4 linked regions of the Canis lupus familiaris genome follow. The protein of the gene in region 4 binds, or shares a complex with, the protein of the main gene of each other region. Links are inferred from orthologs where the notes say so. Each region holds a gene or a part of one and is shown on either strand. Other genes may lie near its edges. The genes, in order: PIGY, PIGA, PIGC and PIGH.

The links.
Region 1: PIGH (region 4) and PIGY share a complex: the UniProt entries of both Homo sapiens proteins name them as parts of the glycosylphosphatidylinositol-N-acetylglucosaminyltransferase (GPI-GnT) complex. The link is inferred for Canis lupus familiaris from reciprocal best matches to the Homo sapiens genes PIGH and PIGY.
Region 2: PIGH (region 4) and PIGA share a complex: the UniProt entries of both Homo sapiens proteins name them as parts of the glycosylphosphatidylinositol-N-acetylglucosaminyltransferase (GPI-GnT) complex. The link is inferred for Canis lupus familiaris from reciprocal best matches to the Homo sapiens genes PIGH and PIGA.
Region 3: PIGH (region 4) and PIGC share a complex: the UniProt entries of both Homo sapiens proteins name them as parts of the glycosylphosphatidylinositol-N-acetylglucosaminyltransferase (GPI-GnT) complex. The link is inferred for Canis lupus familiaris from reciprocal best matches to the Homo sapiens genes PIGH and PIGC.

What each region holds. Positions count from the first base shown.
Region 1 is NC_049253.1:28,142,056-28,146,649, forward strand, and holds the start of PIGY (phosphatidylinositol N-acetylglucosaminyltransferase subunit Y), read left to right. Parts: upstream 1-1,294; 5' UTR 1,295-1,382; coding exon of another isoform or gene 1,383-1,585; intron 1,586-3,754; coding exon of another isoform or gene 3,755-3,896; 5' UTR 3,897-3,989; coding exon 3,990-4,205; 3' UTR 4,206-4,594. Other genes in the region: PYURF (protein preY, mitochondrial), read left to right, coding at 1,383-1,585, 3,755-3,896. UniProt on the Homo sapiens protein: Part of the glycosylphosphatidylinositol-N-acetylglucosaminyltransferase (GPI-GnT) complex that catalyzes the transfer of N-acetylglucosamine from UDP-N-acetylglucosamine to phosphatidylinositol and participates in the first step of GPI biosynthesis.
Region 2 is NC_049260.1:11,617,643-11,621,754, forward strand, and holds part of PIGA (phosphatidylinositol N-acetylglucosaminyltransferase subunit A), read right to left. Parts: intron 2,558-4,112; coding exon 2,425-2,557; intron 1,652-2,424; coding exon 1,519-1,651; intron 1,363-1,518; coding exon 1,156-1,362; intron 1-1,155. UniProt on the Homo sapiens protein: Catalytic subunit of the glycosylphosphatidylinositol-N-acetylglucosaminyltransferase (GPI-GnT) complex that catalyzes the transfer of N-acetylglucosamine from UDP-N-acetylglucosamine to phosphatidylinositol and participates in the first step of GPI biosynthesis.
Region 3 is NC_049228.1:26,429,720-26,434,468, reverse strand, and holds PIGC (phosphatidylinositol N-acetylglucosaminyltransferase subunit C), read right to left. Parts: upstream 3,092-4,749; 5' UTR 2,970-3,091; exon of another isoform or gene 2,897-2,969; intron 2,639-2,896; exon of another isoform or gene 2,461-2,638; intron 2,324-2,460; exon of another isoform or gene 2,263-2,323; intron 1,703-2,262; exon of another isoform or gene 1,671-1,702; 5' UTR 1,453-1,670; coding exon 559-1,452; 3' UTR 272-558; downstream 1-271. Other genes in the region: C7H1orf105 (uncharacterized protein C1orf105 homolog), read left to right, coding at 4,049-4,134. UniProt on the Homo sapiens protein: Part of the glycosylphosphatidylinositol-N-acetylglucosaminyltransferase (GPI-GnT) complex that catalyzes the transfer of N-acetylglucosamine from UDP-N-acetylglucosamine to phosphatidylinositol and participates in the first step of GPI biosynthesis.
Region 4 is NC_049229.1:41,842,503-41,847,108, forward strand, and holds the start of PIGH (phosphatidylinositol N-acetylglucosaminyltransferase subunit H), read right to left. Parts: upstream 3,265-4,606; 5' UTR 3,164-3,264; coding exon 2,984-3,163; intron 1-2,983. UniProt on the Homo sapiens protein: Part of the glycosylphosphatidylinositol-N-acetylglucosaminyltransferase (GPI-GnT) complex that catalyzes the transfer of N-acetylglucosamine from UDP-N-acetylglucosamine to phosphatidylinositol and participates in the first step of GPI biosynthesis.

The sequences.
Region 1 (4,594 bases), on a different chromosome or scaffold from region 4:
GATTTCATGAGGTAGGTGCCATTATCTTATCATACAATAAAGAAACTGAGTGGGGGGATCCCTGGGTGGCGCAGCGGTTTGGCGCCTGCCTTTGGCCCAGGGCGCGATCCTGGAGACCCGGGATCGAATCCCACATCGGGCTCCCGGTGCATGGAGCCTGCTTCTCCCTCTGCCTGTGTCTCTGCCTCTCTCTCTCCTCTCTCTCTCTCTCTCGCTGATGACTATCATAAATAAATAAATTAATTTAAAAAAATTAAAAAAAAAAAAAAAGAAACTGGGTAAGTCGTTGGCTGGACTTACACAGCTAGTAAAGCACGGACCAGAAACCGAGCTGCCAGGCCCCAGAGCCCAACCCTTCCTTCATGGTAAGAAAGAGATCAAGCCTGAGACCACTTCCCTAGAGCACCAGATGCAAACCTGGCGCGGAAAATCCACTGAGCGGATTTGCCATCCAACTAAGGTACATCCACCCGCTTGGTTGCACAGTTGCTCAGACTCCTTGCTGTCACCAGCTCATTTATAAACTGGCTGCGCTTTATGATGCAGTTGAATTCACAGTAGAAGCTGGACTTCTGGGAGGTTAAGAGGCCTATGCTATTCTTTTCAGGCTCTAAAGTTTCTTTGTGTGTGTGTGTGTGTGTGTTTTAAGATTTTATGTATTTATTCATGAGAGACACACAGAGAGAGAGAGAGGCCGAGACACGGGCAGAGGGAGAAGCAGGCGCCCCGCGCGGAGCCTGATGCGGGACTCGATCCCAGGACCCGGGGTCAGGCCTGAGCTAGACTCTACCCCCTGACCTTGGGATCACGACCTCAGCCGAAGGCAGACGCTCATCCACTGAGCCACCCAGGGGCCCCTCAAGTTTTCATTTAATAAGAAAAGGGCGGGGAGGGGGGAAAGGTTACAGGTGCTATGGTAATTTACATAAAACAAATCCATGCTTTTAAGATACCCAATACGTGTTCGAAACCTCATTCTGGAGATGACCACGTAGGTGCAAGCTTAACCCTGTGGGACTCTGAGATCCGGCCACCGGCTTCCTGGCTCCCCTGCGATGAGCCCTGGTGAAAACCCAAAATGCCCCCAATTCAAGCCCTGGCTTTGTCAGTCATCGGTAAACGCGGCGAACAGCCACTGGAGCCCCGCGGCTACGGGCCCCGCCGTAACTACCGAGCGGTGGGCGGGAAGAAGCAGTCGCGTCAGCAGCGCCCCCGGAACCCAAGGGCTGCCTCCTGCCCGCCCGCCCGGGGACCGCATTCCCGCAGCACCGGGGGCGGGGCCTGGCGGGCGGCGGGGCCGGCTGCGCGGGGAGCGGCTGAAGCGGCGGAAGCGGCTGAAGCGGCCGGGCGCTGGCAGGGCGGCGGGTGCGGGCTGCCAGACCATGCTGAGCGGAGCGTGCGGCCGGCTCGCCTCAGCACTGCGGGGGCCGCGCGGGCCGTCGTTCGCGGTCGCCCGCAGGCGCCTTCACGCGTCGGGGTCGCGGCGGCCCTCAGACAAGAGCGAGAGGACGGGAGGCCCGCCCCGCGCCTTCGACCCGGCGCTGCTCGAGTTCCTGGTGTGCCCGCTCTCCAAGAAGCCGCTCAGGTGAGATTCCCGGCGGCCGGCCTCGGTTCGCGCGGCCGCTCACGGCCCTGGGGAGCCCTTCGGCTCGGGCCGGGGTTGCCCGCAGCCATTTTGTGGCCCCGGGCCCTGCGGCTACCAGGCTCCGCCCACTGCGGCGGGAAGGGCGGGGGAGGGGGGAGGCGGGCGCGAGCCGATCCCGGGCCGCTCGGATCCCACCGCCGAGGCGCGGCTGGAAGCCTTGGAAGGTTCCGCGCTGGCCGCGCGGTCGCCTCGCCGGGGGAACTTTTTTTTTTTTTTTTTTTTAAATGCCGATTCGGGTGCGCCGGCGCCGACCGACCCAGTCAGCCGGGCTGGGGGCCGGACTAGCGCGAGGCGTTTTCTTAAAAGGACCTAAGTGGTTCTCGCGCGCCGCCAGGTTTAGGAACTGTTGGGAGTCGGGACTGGCCCGTGGGTGTGAGGTTTTTAAGCCAAGATGGTGAAAAATGACTAAAAATTCTTATGGAAATCTACAGCTGATGCGTGACGGCCTTAAACACTTTTAAGCTGCGTGCGCTGCTGCGCCTTTGGCTCTTAGTTCTGGACGGGCTGGGTTTTGCAGAGTCGTAGGGTCTGTCTCCCTGGAATCCTTAGGGAAAACAGCTCAGGGAGGGGAAATAGAAGGAGACGGAATCAGAGAGGGAGACCAACTCTAGGAGACCGACGGAGGGTTGCTGGGGGTGGGGGGATGGGTGACCGGTGACGGGCATTAAGGAGGGCACTTGATGTCATGGGCACTGGGTGTTAGGTTCCACTGATGAAGCACTAAACTCTATCTCTGAACTAATTATACACTGTATGTTAATCAAATGAGGAAAGATTTTATTTATTCATGAGACACACACAGAGAGAGAGGCAGAGACACAGGCAGAGGGAGAAGCAGGCTCCATGCACTGGGAGCCCGACGTGGGACTCGATCCCGGGTCTCCAGGATCACGCCCTGGGCCGAAGGCGGCGCTAAACCGCTGCGCCACCGGGGCTGCCCGAGTTTAAATTTTTTTTTTTTTAAAAGAACTCTGCACCCCCAGGCTACTAAAACTGAACATTGACAACACTAGTTTTGCACCAGACTGTTATCAGTGGTTATTTTGGGTGGTGGATTGCTAGTCATTTTTTTTTTTTCAATCTTTCTACGTTTCTCTTAACGAGATGTTTTCCCATAATGAAGACACTCAATTTTCTTTTTTTTTTTTTTTAATTTTTATTTATTTATGATAGTTACACACACACAGAGAGAGAGAGAGAGGCGCAGAGACACAGGCAGAGGGAGAAGCAGGCTCCATGCACCGGGAGCCCGACGTGGGATTTGATCCCGGGTCTCCAGGATGGCGCCCTGGGCCAAAGGCAGGCGCTAAACCGCTGCGCCACCCAGGGATCCCCACTCAATTTTCTTATACCTTGAAATGACCATTTGATCTACCGTTTAGTTGTGTAACTAGCTGCAGATGCACTGTTTTCAGTTTCCTCGTTTCTGCTCTCTCCTCCTCAAACTTTTATTTTGTATATCTTGATTTTCAGTGGTTTCCTTCCAGTGGTTCAATTAGGTTGCTGTGTTAAGCGTGCATTCTAAAATAGTGGGGAATTTTAATTTTCCTCTAGTGGCTGTTTCAGTAGTAAATTAACTGGGATGGTTTTGGGGTTGACCAGAGTTAGGAAGGAATATTTTGATGAAAAGGGAAGATCTTCTAACTGGATTTTAAAAATACATATTAAGGTGTAGCTCGAGAATAAAATGAAAAAATACAAGAGAAACTGACCAAAATGCAAACAATTAGAGATTCATTTTCTAAGAGAAATGTTTCAGTTGGCTAATACTGTTTTTAGAATTAGAAGCAGTTTTTTATTTTTTTAAAGATCTTATTTATTCATGAGAGACCTACAGAGAGCCAGAGACACAGGCAGAGGTTGAGAAGCAGGCTCCATGCAGGGAGCCCGATGTGGGACTGGATCCCGGGACCCCAGAATCATGCCCTGGGCTGAAGACGGCACCAAACTGCTGAGCCACCCAGGCAACCCTAGAAGCAGTTTAATTCTACTTTTTTGGAATTTAACTCTCTGTCAAGAATTGGATAAATGGTGGTGTTTATTGAAGACCACGCACTTCTAAGCATTTTATTTTCCACAATTCATTTTGTTTTTCTTTTCCCCCCTCAGATATGAAGCATCGACAAATGAATTGATTAATGAAGAGTTGGGAATAGCCTATCCAATTATTGATGGGATTCCTAATATGATACCACAGGCAGCTAGGATGACACATCAGAATAAGAAGCAAGAAGAAACGGAGCAGCACTAGATCACAATTAAAAGCAACGCCTACAACTGCATTTTCTTAATACTACTTAATTTTTTAAAAGTCAGAGTGGCAGGTAATAAGCGGGGGAGAAGAATGTTTCTGTCTCTTCCTACGTTGACTGTCCTTATTCCATTGGTCTCTTTAGCAGGACTGTTCTACTCAGCTTCTGTGGAGGAAAACTTTCCACAGGGCTGCACTAGCACAACCAGCCTGTGCTTTTACAGTCTCCTCCTGCCAGTTACCATACCAGTTTATGTGTTCTTCCACCTTTGGACCTGGATGGGTATTAAACTCTTCAGGCATAATTAATACAAACAGAGCCAAGATGATACACATATTAATGATATGTCATGTCTGTCTCTGAAAGCTCAGTGACATGGAAATACTGGAAACCCACTTAATTTGCAGGAAAGGTGCTTTGCCTTGCTTCTCTCAGAGGTTTTGGACTATGGGAGGCTTAAGCTGCAGAAATTTCTTTTGTACTTTTGTTCTGCCCTTATTTTTTGAAAATTCTAACATATGACTGCTGTATCAGAAGAAACATTTCAGGAAAGTTTCCTATTGGAAATTAACAGTCCTGACCATCAGCTGATGACTTTATTACCCCATTCATCTAAAGTTAATAATTAAAAATTTTTATGTTTATTTTAGATTCAAAGTATCTGGTACTGATATGTTAAGGATGACTGAAATAACTC
Region 2 (4,112 bases), on a different chromosome or scaffold from region 4:
GGGGAAAAGATAGGGGAAATTTTAGTAGATGGCATAGGTCAAATGCTGGCAAACAAAAACAAAGTTTACTGCTGAGGACCGGTAGTAGGTGGCTTGCTTTTTTCAGGCACGGCTAAGCACAAAACTCAGAAATATTTTTAAAACAAAGATCTTTAAACATATGTTTCGAACACATAAGCGAGGCCAGCATTTATCTGTTTTCATTGCATTCGAGCATTGCTTGTGGTCATTCTCACACAGCGGACCTGTAAGCCATCTCCTTTTGAACTCAAGAAGGCTGTGACGTGCAGTGCGAGCTCTACAGGCCAGTGGCCTCTGGAAAGGTACAGGCTGCTTCCAGCTAGCTCTTGTACCCTCAAAACATCTGGAATACATTTCAGTCCAAATTATGCTGAGACTGGTGAATTAGAACAGTTGAGAGAGCATGTTTCCAGCATGAACTCCAATGTAATGTCTTCATCAATGTTCTAAATAGCATAGTTAAACTATGAAGGAGGAGCTGAAAACGATCAAAATGGCCTGTGTGGAACAGGAAGAATTAAAAGAGCAACTACAAGTTCTCTACTGCCGCTCTGTGTTTGTGGTATTTTCAACATTTGTCATGTGCATCCTGCATCCTAACTTACTATGTTCTCCACCAGCCCAAAGATGCAAAAATCCTCTTCCCCACAGAACATCATGGTACTTAGCAAGGGTGATGCAAGGGTTTTGGGAAGTAGCCTGAATTCAACGTTTGCAAGTTTTAAAGTTGCCGCAATCAGACTAAGAAAAACCACCTACTTCCTAATAAACTGGCATGCTTAGAATTAGAAACAGCCTCAAGAAAATTTCTGAGAGTAGATCTTAATATCGGTTTGGCCTTTGAACAGTCGTGCCTTCTAGAAAACTCTGTAACTCCCTTATGCCTAATTTAATGAGAAGTCTTGACGGCATTGCTATTTTCAGATGTCAAATGCAACGAGTTGACTAGAAACTTAGCCTAGCATATACCAAAAGTAGTACATAGTGCATTTCTTTTCATTTGAAGAGACTTCATAAACTTAAGCAACAGAAAGGGTAAACCTATATATATATTTAAAAAAAGCAAACGTGTACACGAAACGCCAAGAATTTAGACACAATCTTCAAATACCCTTTGCTTAGCACATGACATACTTTTTCAGTTCTTTCTGCAACATTCCTCCAGGTGTAGAAAGTCTTTACTATGTTATGGATATTTTCGGGAGCTGGCAACGCTCCTGACTTCAGCTGGGAAATCGCTTTTTCCAAACCCTTGCACAAGGACTTGACAGAAGGCTCACACAGAATGATAAGATTTTCTGGAAGTACCTCAGGAATTCCACCAACCCTGGTACTTACCACCTTAAAAAGGAGAACAAGAACATACATTACACCATAATTCATATTTCAGGAAAATCAGCAAAACCAACTTTAAAAAGTCATTACAGAAAGTACCTGCTTATTTTTCAAAATACAAGTACAGAAACCCCAACAACGTAAGCCCTCAAAGCTTTTTACCTGTAAACCACAACTGGCTGCTTCCACAATTGCCATGCAGAATGCTTCGGTAAGGGAAGTATTAAGAAAAATATGTCCTTGAACTAAGACATTTCTAACATCCTTGTGCTCTAAGGCTCCCAAGAGACGCACTCTGATTTTAGAAATGAAAGAAGAAAAGAGAGGAGTGAAAATCATGCAAGAAAAGAAATATCATTTAGAAGCCAAGTGTGCTATTCATATTATACTTAGATTACGGCTGGTTCTAATGTTTGCCACTGCACAAGACTAATATCACCAAATTATGATCTAAAAGAGTCTTTAAAGCTGTTTGGTTTCAAACTCATACAGCTACCATATTTCTAACTTTTGTCACGCATATAAATTTCATCTTCTACAAAATTAGTTGGCATTTAGTGGAGATATTAATATACTTTGGTGAGTAAATATTAAAGAGTCATTTCTAAACAGAAAAAGGCCCCTTAAAATTGATGCTTCACAGCAAACACCTTTTTAAGTTACTAAGAAAGAGAAGTATTTGAATCTGTATGTACAGGACAATTTACATGATTTGGGCCATACTATTTAAATCACAACTCAGCAAGGCTTGAAAATCTACAAACGTTTCCAAAGTGGTTGTTCTGTGTGTGTGTGTGTGTGTGTGTGAGTTCATATGCATGCGCACACCTTCCAGGGTACCTCCAACCATTGCCCCTGAAAGTCAAATAATACTGGGCCAAAAAAAAAAATTGTGAAATTTTTTTAAACTAAGTTTTCCCATATTATATACATTAAAAAAAACAGACTTTGCATTACATTTTTACATCAAGTATACATAGGAGAAACAGCCCACTTAAAAACACATGTAACCAAAACTGAATTCAGGTAACATTTTCTCACCCAAGACAATATAGAATCCATCAATACCTGTCATGTAGCTGGTACCTTTCTCGTACTTCTTCCAAAATGATTCTCTTAGGTCCCTCTCCTCCAATTATGAAATTTAAATCTGGATATTTCTGACAGAGTTCAGGTATTATACCACTAAGCAAATCAGTCCCTGAAAATATAAAATAAAGTTGAATGTTGGAAATATTAATATTTAAACTTTAAAAAATTCAGCAGAACTGAGAAAACACTCCCTTTGAAAAGTATTAGCTATGCCCTCCTTAGGCAGAGAAGCTAATTCTCAAACCTTTCCTGCCAAGGTGGAATGTCCAAACTACCAGCGCTCTCCTAAGAGTTGCAGTTCTTAAAGTACATTGACATCCACTGTTACCCGATACATGGGTTGGTTATATGGGTTATGCTGTTTCGTTCTAACATAACATTCTTTGTCATTCGCTTGTGGTTATGCATCACATACTTCTAAAAAAGGTATTTGAGGTAGCTAGCATTTGAGTTAGTTTTCTACAGAGCCGAACAGCTGATCGGAGACCTAGGATTTGTCCCAGCCAACTTAGGAGCAAGCTCTTTGGTCGTGGGAAAATTTTCTGATAATAGAAAACGAAGAGACCAGATGTGCCTGAAGTCCAAGGTCTCTTTCAGCTACAAAATTTCTACCAGTCTATGTTCCATATCCCGCCATGCCATCAGAAAGGGCTAAGCAACAAAGTGTAACTGCAGCATCCGCTTTGTTGAGAACGCAGCTTGTACACAGGATCTTACAACAAACTCCACAGTATTAGCAAAATGTAAAAGAGTAGTCCGTCCAAACCTGCCATAGCCCACTTCCCTTGAATGAGAGTAAATGAAGGTGGCAGGACCTCGACTGACAGATGGTTATAATCCAGAGAACAAAAGGGTGCGTCTTGGTTCTTTTTTTTCCTTTAATGAAACACTTTCCTTCTAATACGTAAATACAACCCCAGGTAATATGAAGCAAAAAAATAAACCATGCCCTACCAGTCTGAAAGTGGCTATCCAAAGTGACAGGAATGTTGATACTTTTTGAGAATTTTGTTCATTAACAATTATAAATTGGACACATTTCAAAGTAAAAGTAAATGTAAAATAACCCAGTTAAAGTTTATTAATTCAAAAAATGCATATGTACACACACACAAAAATAAGAATTACACTTTTTTCTATCAATCTTCTCAAATACAGGCAGATCAATTATTTTTAAAAAAAGATAGTGGGAGAAGTAATTTATATGGGGTCATTTTTATTAAATTCAAAGTAGGGATTTATATAAACTCCGCCAGCATTTTCAAAATATAACTGCATTAGCAAACATAAGTTCACACGCAGCTTTTCTGAATTATGAAGGCTTCTCATTAAAATCTTAGCTACCTTTGTTTCAAGACAATTACCGAATCTGTCAACTGGATCTCTACATAAACCAGAAGGTGGCTTAATGACTTTTAACATTTAGCTACCTTTAACTCTTTCATTTTCTTTCTTTCCTTTCCTTCCTCCCTTCGAATACAAAGGTTAAGAACCCATTCTTCAAATGAAAAATGCAACACATAAAGAGTAAAAATCATAACTGCCAATAACAACTAACATTTACTGAGTGGTTACTACATCAGGCTCTGTCCTTTAAGTGCATTATGTCATTTAATCCTGACAACAACCTTATAAGAAATGGAACTGATTAAAATTAGTAATGA
Region 3 (4,749 bases), on a different chromosome or scaffold from region 4:
TGATTATGTATCACAACACACCACACTCTCCTTTGGACTTAAGTGTGTACATGCTTCACTAAAACTAATAGAAACTCTGAGTCAAGGTTAAGTGACCAATTCTGGGATCTAAGGCAATAACACAACACAGAATCCAGGATTCTAGGACCTGAGCTCTAGATAAATAAAGGTAGAGAGAAGTGACTTTACACATAAACACATATATTTTCATTCTCTTTTCACTCTTCATGCCCCTTCTGTCAGCCTTCTTACAGAAAAGTCATGAGACAACTTAATGGATGTTATTTTTTTAATAAATAGAAGCCACACCACTTCATTTGTTACAGCAAATGAGAGGCAAGAATTGAGGAGGGCCCCAGAAAGCATTTTCATCCACAAAATAACAGAAAGGACAAGCATCTTCACCACCCATGCCTTTGGTTAGTTCTTTCTTTTGACTGCTGTTCCCCTACCCCCACATCAGTATGTTGTTTCCAGGATGGGACTGTCTTCGAGTCTTCTACTAGTTGGGAGGCTAGTCTATCAGCTTGCCTTAATAACAGAATGGAAGTCTCTAACTTAGCTGAGAAACCTGGACAGGTCTTCTTTGATTTCAGCCTCATCCCAAGGCCCATGAATGTTTTCTTTAAAAAGCTGCAGGCGAATGAGGTAGAAAGGGCAGAGACAAGAGATGGAAACCAGCAGAATGGCAAAGAGGATGGCTCCCACAGCACTAATGGACAGTAAACCTCCCAAGGCTGAAAATGCGAAAAGCAACGTGACTCCCACGTAGCTGCATGGAGTACATGCCTTCAGTTTCTTCTGTAACATGGGCCACAGGGCAAAAATCTGGATGGCAAATGTCACCATGATGAAAGCATGCAGGGACCGGGGCAGGCGCGACGCCAGGCAGACAGAGGCAAAAATGGCCATGTTCAAGGACAGTGTGCTGGATACAATGGCAGCGTTGGCGCCATAGTCAAAGAAAATGAGGTGGCCCAAGAGCATAAAGACTGACATGGCATAGATGGTATCGGTGCTGACAGACTCTGTCAGGGTCTTCAGCACTGGCGAAAAACCATATGTGAAAGTAATGAAAACGAGGGCACTCTTCAAGTCAGCCCACCGGGTCCGCCCGCTCTTTTTCCGTCCTTCGCCTCCATCGATGAGATCAAACAAAACATAGCCAATCAGTGAAGAAGCCAGGCCAGTCCCAAAAAGCCAGTGGGGCGCCAGGAGGCCCTCATCCATGTACCACCAGATAACCACAAAAACACAAACGCTGCACAGCTGCTGTACCACCACACTGGACTCAAATACCACAGCCCAGTACTGGTACTTCCGGGCGTAGATGTTTTTCCGGAGCTCTTCCAGGAAACGCCGGTCCACATAGTTATCAGGAAAGGGCTGCCGCTCATACAAGACCTTCTGCCACTTGATCTCCTTTGTGTCAGTTACAGGTTGGGCACACATTATCCCCTCCTTCAAATTCAGGCCAGTTTGAGCTCCCTTCCAGAAGTCCAGGTGGTTCTTGTTCTTTACACAGTTTTGCAATAAGACCTCTCTGGAAGTTCCATGCTGTGTTGCGGTTCAAAGTGTACCGACCTTCCCTTGCTTTCAAAGGCAGCAACCCGGACGAGGCCTCAACTCGAAGAGTTTGTTCCCGGAGGCAGGATGATGCAGCCAAGTTCCTGGAAAATGAGAGACTATGAACCTAGGAAAGCTGTCAAAGGTCAAGGGAAGGACTGAGTTAAAAATCAAACTAATTCAGTTTATTAAAAGTCTGAGCAAAAATACATGCGGTGGCTGTTTTATAATTATGGACGTTAACACTTCACATCAGATTTTAATTATAATCCCACAGATAACAACAGACATCTGTCAGCTATTACTCTCTGAGCGCCTACTATGTGCCAGGTGCCTTCTGGAGCTTCTTTCGTTTAATCCTCTCCTTTCAAATCAGCATTAGCTCCACTTTAATCAGTAAAAATACCTGAGATTCAGATTGCTCAGACAACTTTAGCCCAAATTAACAGTGGCGCCAAATTCAGGCCCACGTCTTTCCCCGGAAGCCTGAGCCTCACGTCATGTCTCCCTCAGGGGTTCACACATCCCTGAGGTCTGTGGATGGGCTCCAGAGCATCCAAAACACTCTCCCTGTCACCATATCCTTGTGGCTGCAATTAGTGCAAATTTCGAGGGATAGGATCCGGAGCTTTTATTGATGGAGACCTCAAAGGCATTATACCAAAAAAGGAGAAAAAAAAAAAAAGAAAAAGGTACCAGTGACGCCTGGGTGGCTCAGCGGTTGAGCGTCTGCCTTTGGCTCAGGTCGTGATCCCGGGGTCCCGGGATCGAGTCCCGCATCGGGCCCCTGGTAGGGAGCCTGCTTCTCCCTCTGCCTGTGTCTCTGCCTCTCTCTGTTTCTCATGAATAAATAAATCTTAAAAAAAAAATAAGAAGAAGAAGAAGAAAAGGTACCAGTCTAAAGACAACAGTAAACCGCACAATACAAAAAGGCACGAGCTCCCGGTTTAGAATCTCAAGGGTCTTCACCCACGAACCTCGCGAGCTTAACCTCCTTTAAAGAGCTCGCGTCCTGGCGGGAAACTCTCGCGAGGCCCGCGGACGACGACCCCTTCTCCACAAGGAAACCTGAAGGAGGCAGAAGGACCCGAGTCCTCCCTCCAGCAAGCCCGGGAAGGCGACTCCTACTGCCCGACCTGACTCCCTCCACGGAGACCACGGCGAGTTGGGCTGCACCGGCCAGACGCCCTGGAGCCCCGTTGGCGGCCGCAGGGCCCCCAGCCCAGCGCGCTCCCGCCGTCGCCCAGGGCAACGCCCCGCCCCCCCCCCCCGCGGGGTCGGCCAGGTGTCCCCGGGGACGCCCCACTCCCCCTCCGCGGCCGCCGCTCACCGGCCTTGCGCCTGCGCGGGCGTGGCGGAGGACAAGGAGGCCCGGAAACGCGGACGCCCGCCCGAGGACCCACCTGCCCGCAGCTCCCGGGGCTCTGCGGCCGGACGGAGGCGGCCGCCCACTTCCGCTCCCATCCGGGGCTCCGCGGCGCTCGCGACGCCGGCCGAGCACTTCCGGGTCCGCCCCCCCCGCGGCGAGAGCGCCTTTCCCCGGCCGGCGGAACTGCGGGGGTCGCTGCTGCCCCCTGCCGGCGACCCGCGGAACTCCCGGCTCCTCTCCCGAGGACGCGCCGCTCGGAGCCTAGGAAAAAGCAAGCGCCGCAACGAAAGGCTGGATTATTTGGGATCCGAACGCCGGGGGACAGAGGCTGGGCTGGTAAAGAGAGACTGTAGAGCCGACTCTTAGGCGCTCCTGTTACTCAGTCAGGCCCTCAACTGGGGACTTGCCACGCATCCGTGCATTCGCTGGACAGGTATTCGGAGAGCACCTGCGAGCACTGTCCTAGGGGGGCTCTTGACACCACAGTGAGTGGAACCGAAAATCCCTGCTCTCCTGCAGCTCTCTGTCTTGTGCGTTGACCTGGAAAGTGATGATATCTTCCCAAGAGGACAAAACCGAGGCTCAGAGACCTTGTGAGCTGTCCCAAAGCCACCAGCTGGAAAGTGGATTAACAGATTAACGTGCCATGTCCGCGGCTTCAGCGTGTTGTTCATTCCTCTTTGGTGCCTGGAAGGAATCGGGAGCGGAGGGCCCTGCGGCTGAAAACAGTCTGGGACTGAACGGGAGGCTGCTGATAATTCAGCCGGCTGCATAGGTGCACCAACAGATGGAAGTAATAAAGAAGCAAAGGGATAGGTAGAGTAGAAGGCCAGGTATAGAGGGCACGAAAGTCAGAAAACCTGAATCCACCTATGAGCCGTGTGACTTGGCAAATCACAACGCCTGAGCTCTGATTTCTTCATCTGTAAAGTGGAGATAACACTGTTTGCTCTTGGATCCTTTATAGGAGACTCAAAAGGCCCTCGTCATAAAAATGTTTTGTAAAGTGCTGACTTTTATATAGCTGCCATTAGCTCACTTTGGTTATTGTTTTGATGGCAATGTTCAAATGCAATAAGTTCCACGGAATGATCTCTTTCCATTTCTTTCCAGGTTTCTGTTCCGAAATTTGGCAAGATTCCTTGGCTTAGCGAGGCCAGCCTCATAAACAAGCCATTAGTGCTCAGCCTCCCCAAAAGGTAAATCACTCAGTCACTGAAGCCAAAGGTTTCGAGAAAGATGTCACAGAAGATGGTTTCTGGGGCAGTTATCAGAGGGGCAAATCTGGTCAGTTGAGAAACTCAAGATGAGTGCTCAAAGCCCAGAAATGGCCTGGGTTTCTCAGACAAAAGCAGGCACTGAGTATAGGCTTGGCAGGGGGGAGGAGATCTCAATGAACCTCCCTCTCTACAACCACCACTCAACAATACAAAAGAATTTTGCCCCTGGATGCTACCTCTCCGAACACTTCCATCCTCCTCTACATCTTACTTTTTCTCCTCTGCTTTAATTTGAAATTTTCTCATTTTAACCATCAAAAGTCTAGACCCATAAATGGCAATCTTTAGAGAGGAGCGACTGCCCGTATATCCCTTTGGGACAATCTCCTCCAATCTCACCAGTCCTGCCACTTCCAAACCAACAGCTATGGAATATGTTTCTGTGTTTCACAATTGGAGGTGTTCATGTGTTAGCAGCATTTTAGTGCTGACACTCGAAATATCTGGGCTTCTTCATTCCTCTTTCATTTGTGGTCCCTGGCTGCTCTGGGGAGGGGAAGTGGAAGGAAGGGGGAAATTGAGGTAATGTGGAGG
Region 4 (4,606 bases):
AGATTTTATTTATTTGAGAGAAAGAAAGAGAGCAAGAGAGAGAGAACACAAGCAGGGGAAGTGGTGCAGAGGGAGGAGAAGCAGACTCCCCAATGAGCAGGGAGCCTGACACAAGGCTTGATCCTGGGACTCCAGGATCATGACCTGAGCCAAAAGCAAATGCCCAACTGACTGAGCCACCCAGGCATCCGTTTTTACACTTTTAAAAGAGTTGTAAAAGAAAGAAAAAGAAACAGGACTGTGAGAGACCTGTAAAGCCCAAAATATTTACTATTTGGCCTTTTAAAGTTTGCTGACCTCTGTACTTGGTAATTACTTACTGATTAATGAATGGAGAATGGAAAAATCTATGTGCTAGGTCTCTGATGATCCAAAAATGTCTACTTTAAGTTAATTAAATGCCTAGTATCTAGTACAGTGTCTGGTTCATAGTCTGAACTGAATAAACATGGAAGAATAGAAAATTCGGCCCCAGCCCTTACAGGTGTATTAGAGGCAAAATTAATACAAAAATTAAAATTTTTGGAGACTACTATGGAACTATTAGTGCCTAAGTATTAAAACAGAATGAGAGAAAGCAAGAAAGAGACCTCAAAGCACACAGGATACCCCATGAAGACTTCCAAGGAAGAAGAATTTCACTGGTATATAAGAGCTGGTGGTTATTGATAGATATGCTTAGTTGAGAAAAGGAAGGGGGTAAAGCATTCCAGATTGCAATAAATCAGGTAATAACCTACACTTTTAATAGAATTGTGAATTCAAAACCAGCAGGAAAGAAGGGATGAAGTACAAAAAATGTAAGGGGATTTAATCCCTATCAGCTTTTTAATAAGGTAATCCTTGCCCAAAACTTCATTACTACCTACATTCTTTATACTTCATTTTTCTTTTTTTTTTAATTTTTATTTATTTATGATAGTCACACAGAGAGAGAGAGAGAAGGGCAGAGACATAGGCAGAAGGAGAAGCAGGCTCCATGCACCGGGAGCCCGACATGGGATTCGATCCAGGGTCTCCAGGATCGTGCCCTGGGCCAAAGGCAGGCGCTAAACCGCTGCGCCACCCAGGGATCCCTATACTTCATTTTTCTGTCTGAAATTCTAACAATTCAATATTTATTTGGGCTGAAATTAAGCCACATGTTTCTGTGAATTCCTTCATTTCTTCTCCCTCCTGAGAGTCATTACTCTGACAAATAGTTTTGAACCCAAAGATAAACTCTGATACACAGACCCCTTAAGAAATATAGTGGAGGTTTTTTTTTCTTAAGATTTTATTTATTTATTCATGAGAGACACACACAGAGAGAGAAGCAAAGACACACAGGCCGAGGGAGAAGCAGGCTCCATGCAGGGAGCCAGCCGGATGTGGGACTCCATCCGGGTCTCCAGGATTACGCCCTGGACTGAAGGCGGCGCTAAACCGCTGAGCCAGGATCCCCTGCAGTGGAGTTTGAAGGAAGATAAGGTTACTGAGTTGTGGGCCCTTCATGGAGGCAGGTGGGACATACCAGGATAAGAGGGTACAAAAAGGAGCTGGCATAAAAACAAACTTCTATTTAAAAATTTTACCTAAGTAAGCCCTCCCCAAGGAGGAGACAGTATAGTGGAAAAGAAAGGGTTTCAGAGTCAGTCCTGAGTTTGAAGCCCAAGTATGCCATTTACTAGCTTTGTGACCTTGGGTAAATTATTACTCTAAGCCTTGGCTTTCTTCTAAGGTTAAAATGAGACATTCAGGAAAGCAGCTGGCAGTTAGTGGACATATAATAATCTGTTCGCTCCTCCTCCTCACATGACAACACGGCCAGAACTCAGGCTAGTATTAAAATTCAACTACATTATAAATTAAATCTTTTTCGAGGGGGGAGAAGGACTGTCCTGGCAGTTTAACCATATTAACTGGCTTTTGAACAAACTTCTAGATACAGTTTGGCATAACTTAGGGCAGTCTTAATTCTGCACATATCTATGCCAAATTACCATACATTGATGGTAAGAGAGCCAATGAATGCATTAATGGAAACAAGACCCAAAATATAGAAAAAACCCTCGACCTGGTCAGATCACTCCTAGAATAATATATTCAGTTCAGGACACTACATCTGAAACTAAATTCATCTTGGGGCAGCCCGGGTGGCTCGGCGGTTTAGCGCCGCCTTCAGCCCAGGGCGTGATCCTGGAGACCCGGGATCGAGTCCCACGTCCATCTCCCTGCATGGAGCCTCCTTCTCCCTCTGCCTGTGTCTCTGCCTCTCTCTCTCTGTCTCTGTGTGTCTCTCATGAATAAATAAAGTCTTAAAAAAATTCATCTTGAAAAGCATTTAGGGTGACTCGTTTTATTTGAGGGCTGCCACAAAGCCACTACATGTGACCCTCAATACTGTGAAGCTGGCATGGCAGGCAGCAATTCCCTTTTAAACATGTTAAAGCTGAGGCTCAGAAAATAGGAATGAGTCCGAATGGTGAGCCCAGAAACAACGCATCACCAAAACTTCCTAATTCATTAGAAATCACTTGAGGTTGGGGAAGGGGTGGGGGTGGGGGGGGTAGACTGCCTTGAAAAACAGGTTAGAACTGATGAAGCTCATGTTGTGGAGGCAAAGACGGTTTCTCCTTAAGACTCTATAAAGGTTCTGTTGGCAGCGACTCCTCTGAAGATTCGGAGCGACGGATGAGGTCGATGCACTTAACAGTTCTCCGAACCCCTGGAACTGAATTCCTGTGAGCACGTGCTACGTAGGTCACCTGGAAGTTAGAGTCTGAGGCTATCGCGCAAGGTCTAAGTGGACGCCCACAGGAGGCACAGAGCACAGGTGTCAAAACGTCACTAAACGTCAAGAAAACAGCTGTCCCGGCAGCAGAGCCAGCCAGTTCCCGCCCTCCGACCCTACACCGACGGGAAGGCCCGACGAGAGACCCGGCCTCGACCCGGGAACGCCGCCCCCGACTCCGACTGCGGGGAGGGGCCGAGCGGCCTTTACCTCGCAGAGGGTGAAGAGTCCGTAGGCCGCGAGCCACACGGCGCAGGTGACCGCGGTGAGCGAGCGCAGCGAGAGCCGGGGGCAGCTGAGGCAGAACTCCCGGCAGGACGGGGAGTAGTAGCGGCGCTGCAGGGCCAGGCGGCCGCCGCAGATATCCGAGAAGCTCCGCTCGTCCTCCATGGTCGGCGGGCCCCTCCCGCCGGCGCCCTCTCGCGCCCCGTCGCGCCCTCTCGCCCGCCGGCGCCCTCTCAGCAGCTCCAACCCACTTCCGGAGAGCGGCGCAGGCCCCGCCCCGCCCCGCCCCCGCCTCACGCTCCGCGCAGCCGCAGTCGGCGCCCAGAGCTGCGGCGAGGCTCCGCCGGCTCGGGTTTCGCGCTTCCCGGCCCCGCAGGGCTTCTGCGGGCGGCGTGGCTACTCCGGAGACTCGCGGGAGGCCGACGCAGCTGGCCTGTTCACGCGCTCTCGCTTGGCAGACGATTTCTAGGTCCAGGCCAGGAGACAGTCCGCAGATACACACTCGTTACAGTCACTTACTCATTCATTTCATTCCCGCGCCAGGTAGTTGCTGAAGATCCAGGGCTGGCCCGCCCGTGCTGGAGATTCGTGCCTTCAAGGAGCGTCCGCTCCAGTAAGAGCAACTGCAATATGGAAGGGTGTCAAAACGATTTCAGGGAGTGCTGCTGGCAATAACATGACCGCAGGAGTGGCTTGGGGACACTTGCCACAGGGCAATCAGGAAAATCTCTGAGGACCCTGGAGCTGCGCGCGTGGGGAGCCAGACTGGTCCGGGAGAGCTCTGGAGGAGGAATATGACAGTTTGGAGGACCAGGAAAGGCAAAGTCCCCGAGGCTGGAACAAGGTTGATGTATTGGAGGAATCAAGAGACTGACACAAGGAGGAGGCATTTGGAAGTTGGGAAGGTAGGGGCGCCTGGGTGGCTCAGTGGTTGAGCATCTGCTTTGGGCTCAGGCCATGATCCCGAGGTCCTGGGATCGAGTCCCACATCAGGCTCTCCCCGCAGGGAGCCTGCTTCTGCCTATGCCTATGCCTCTGCTTCTGTCTCTCATGAATAAATAAATAAAAAAAATTAAAATCAATGAAGTTGGGGAGAGAGGTGCAGACCTCAGATCCAAGAGGGTCTTATAGGGCCTGGTAAGAAGTTTGGATTTCACTGGCTTGGGAGTTGTCTCTTCCCAACCACTGCGTGGAGCATTGAGTAGACAGAGGAGTCCTGGCTGGGAAGTTAGCAAGAGAGGAAGATGCAGAAGGTGTGGATAATAAAAATCACTAAACCCATGAGTAATAGCGCCTGTGGGTTTTGTTTTGTTTTGTTTGTTTTTGTCTTTGGTTTTTTTTTTTTTTTTTTTTTTTTTTACTTTTGGCTCAAGAGTGGCTTGTGGCCTGTTGGAGTTATGGTGCTTCAGCCCTGAGGCAGCATCATGAATTAAAGAATTGATCCCTTTGTCTATAAAGACAAATGGCATTAACAGTCTCACCAGCTTTGAGTCTCTCTGATGAAAGTTAGGTTCGGTCTTTCCATCTTCATCCAAGATTTTGTTTCCTTTTTTCCCCAAAACTGTTGTGCCCAAGATTGCGAATCCGAGAAACCACCAAGAAGCCGAC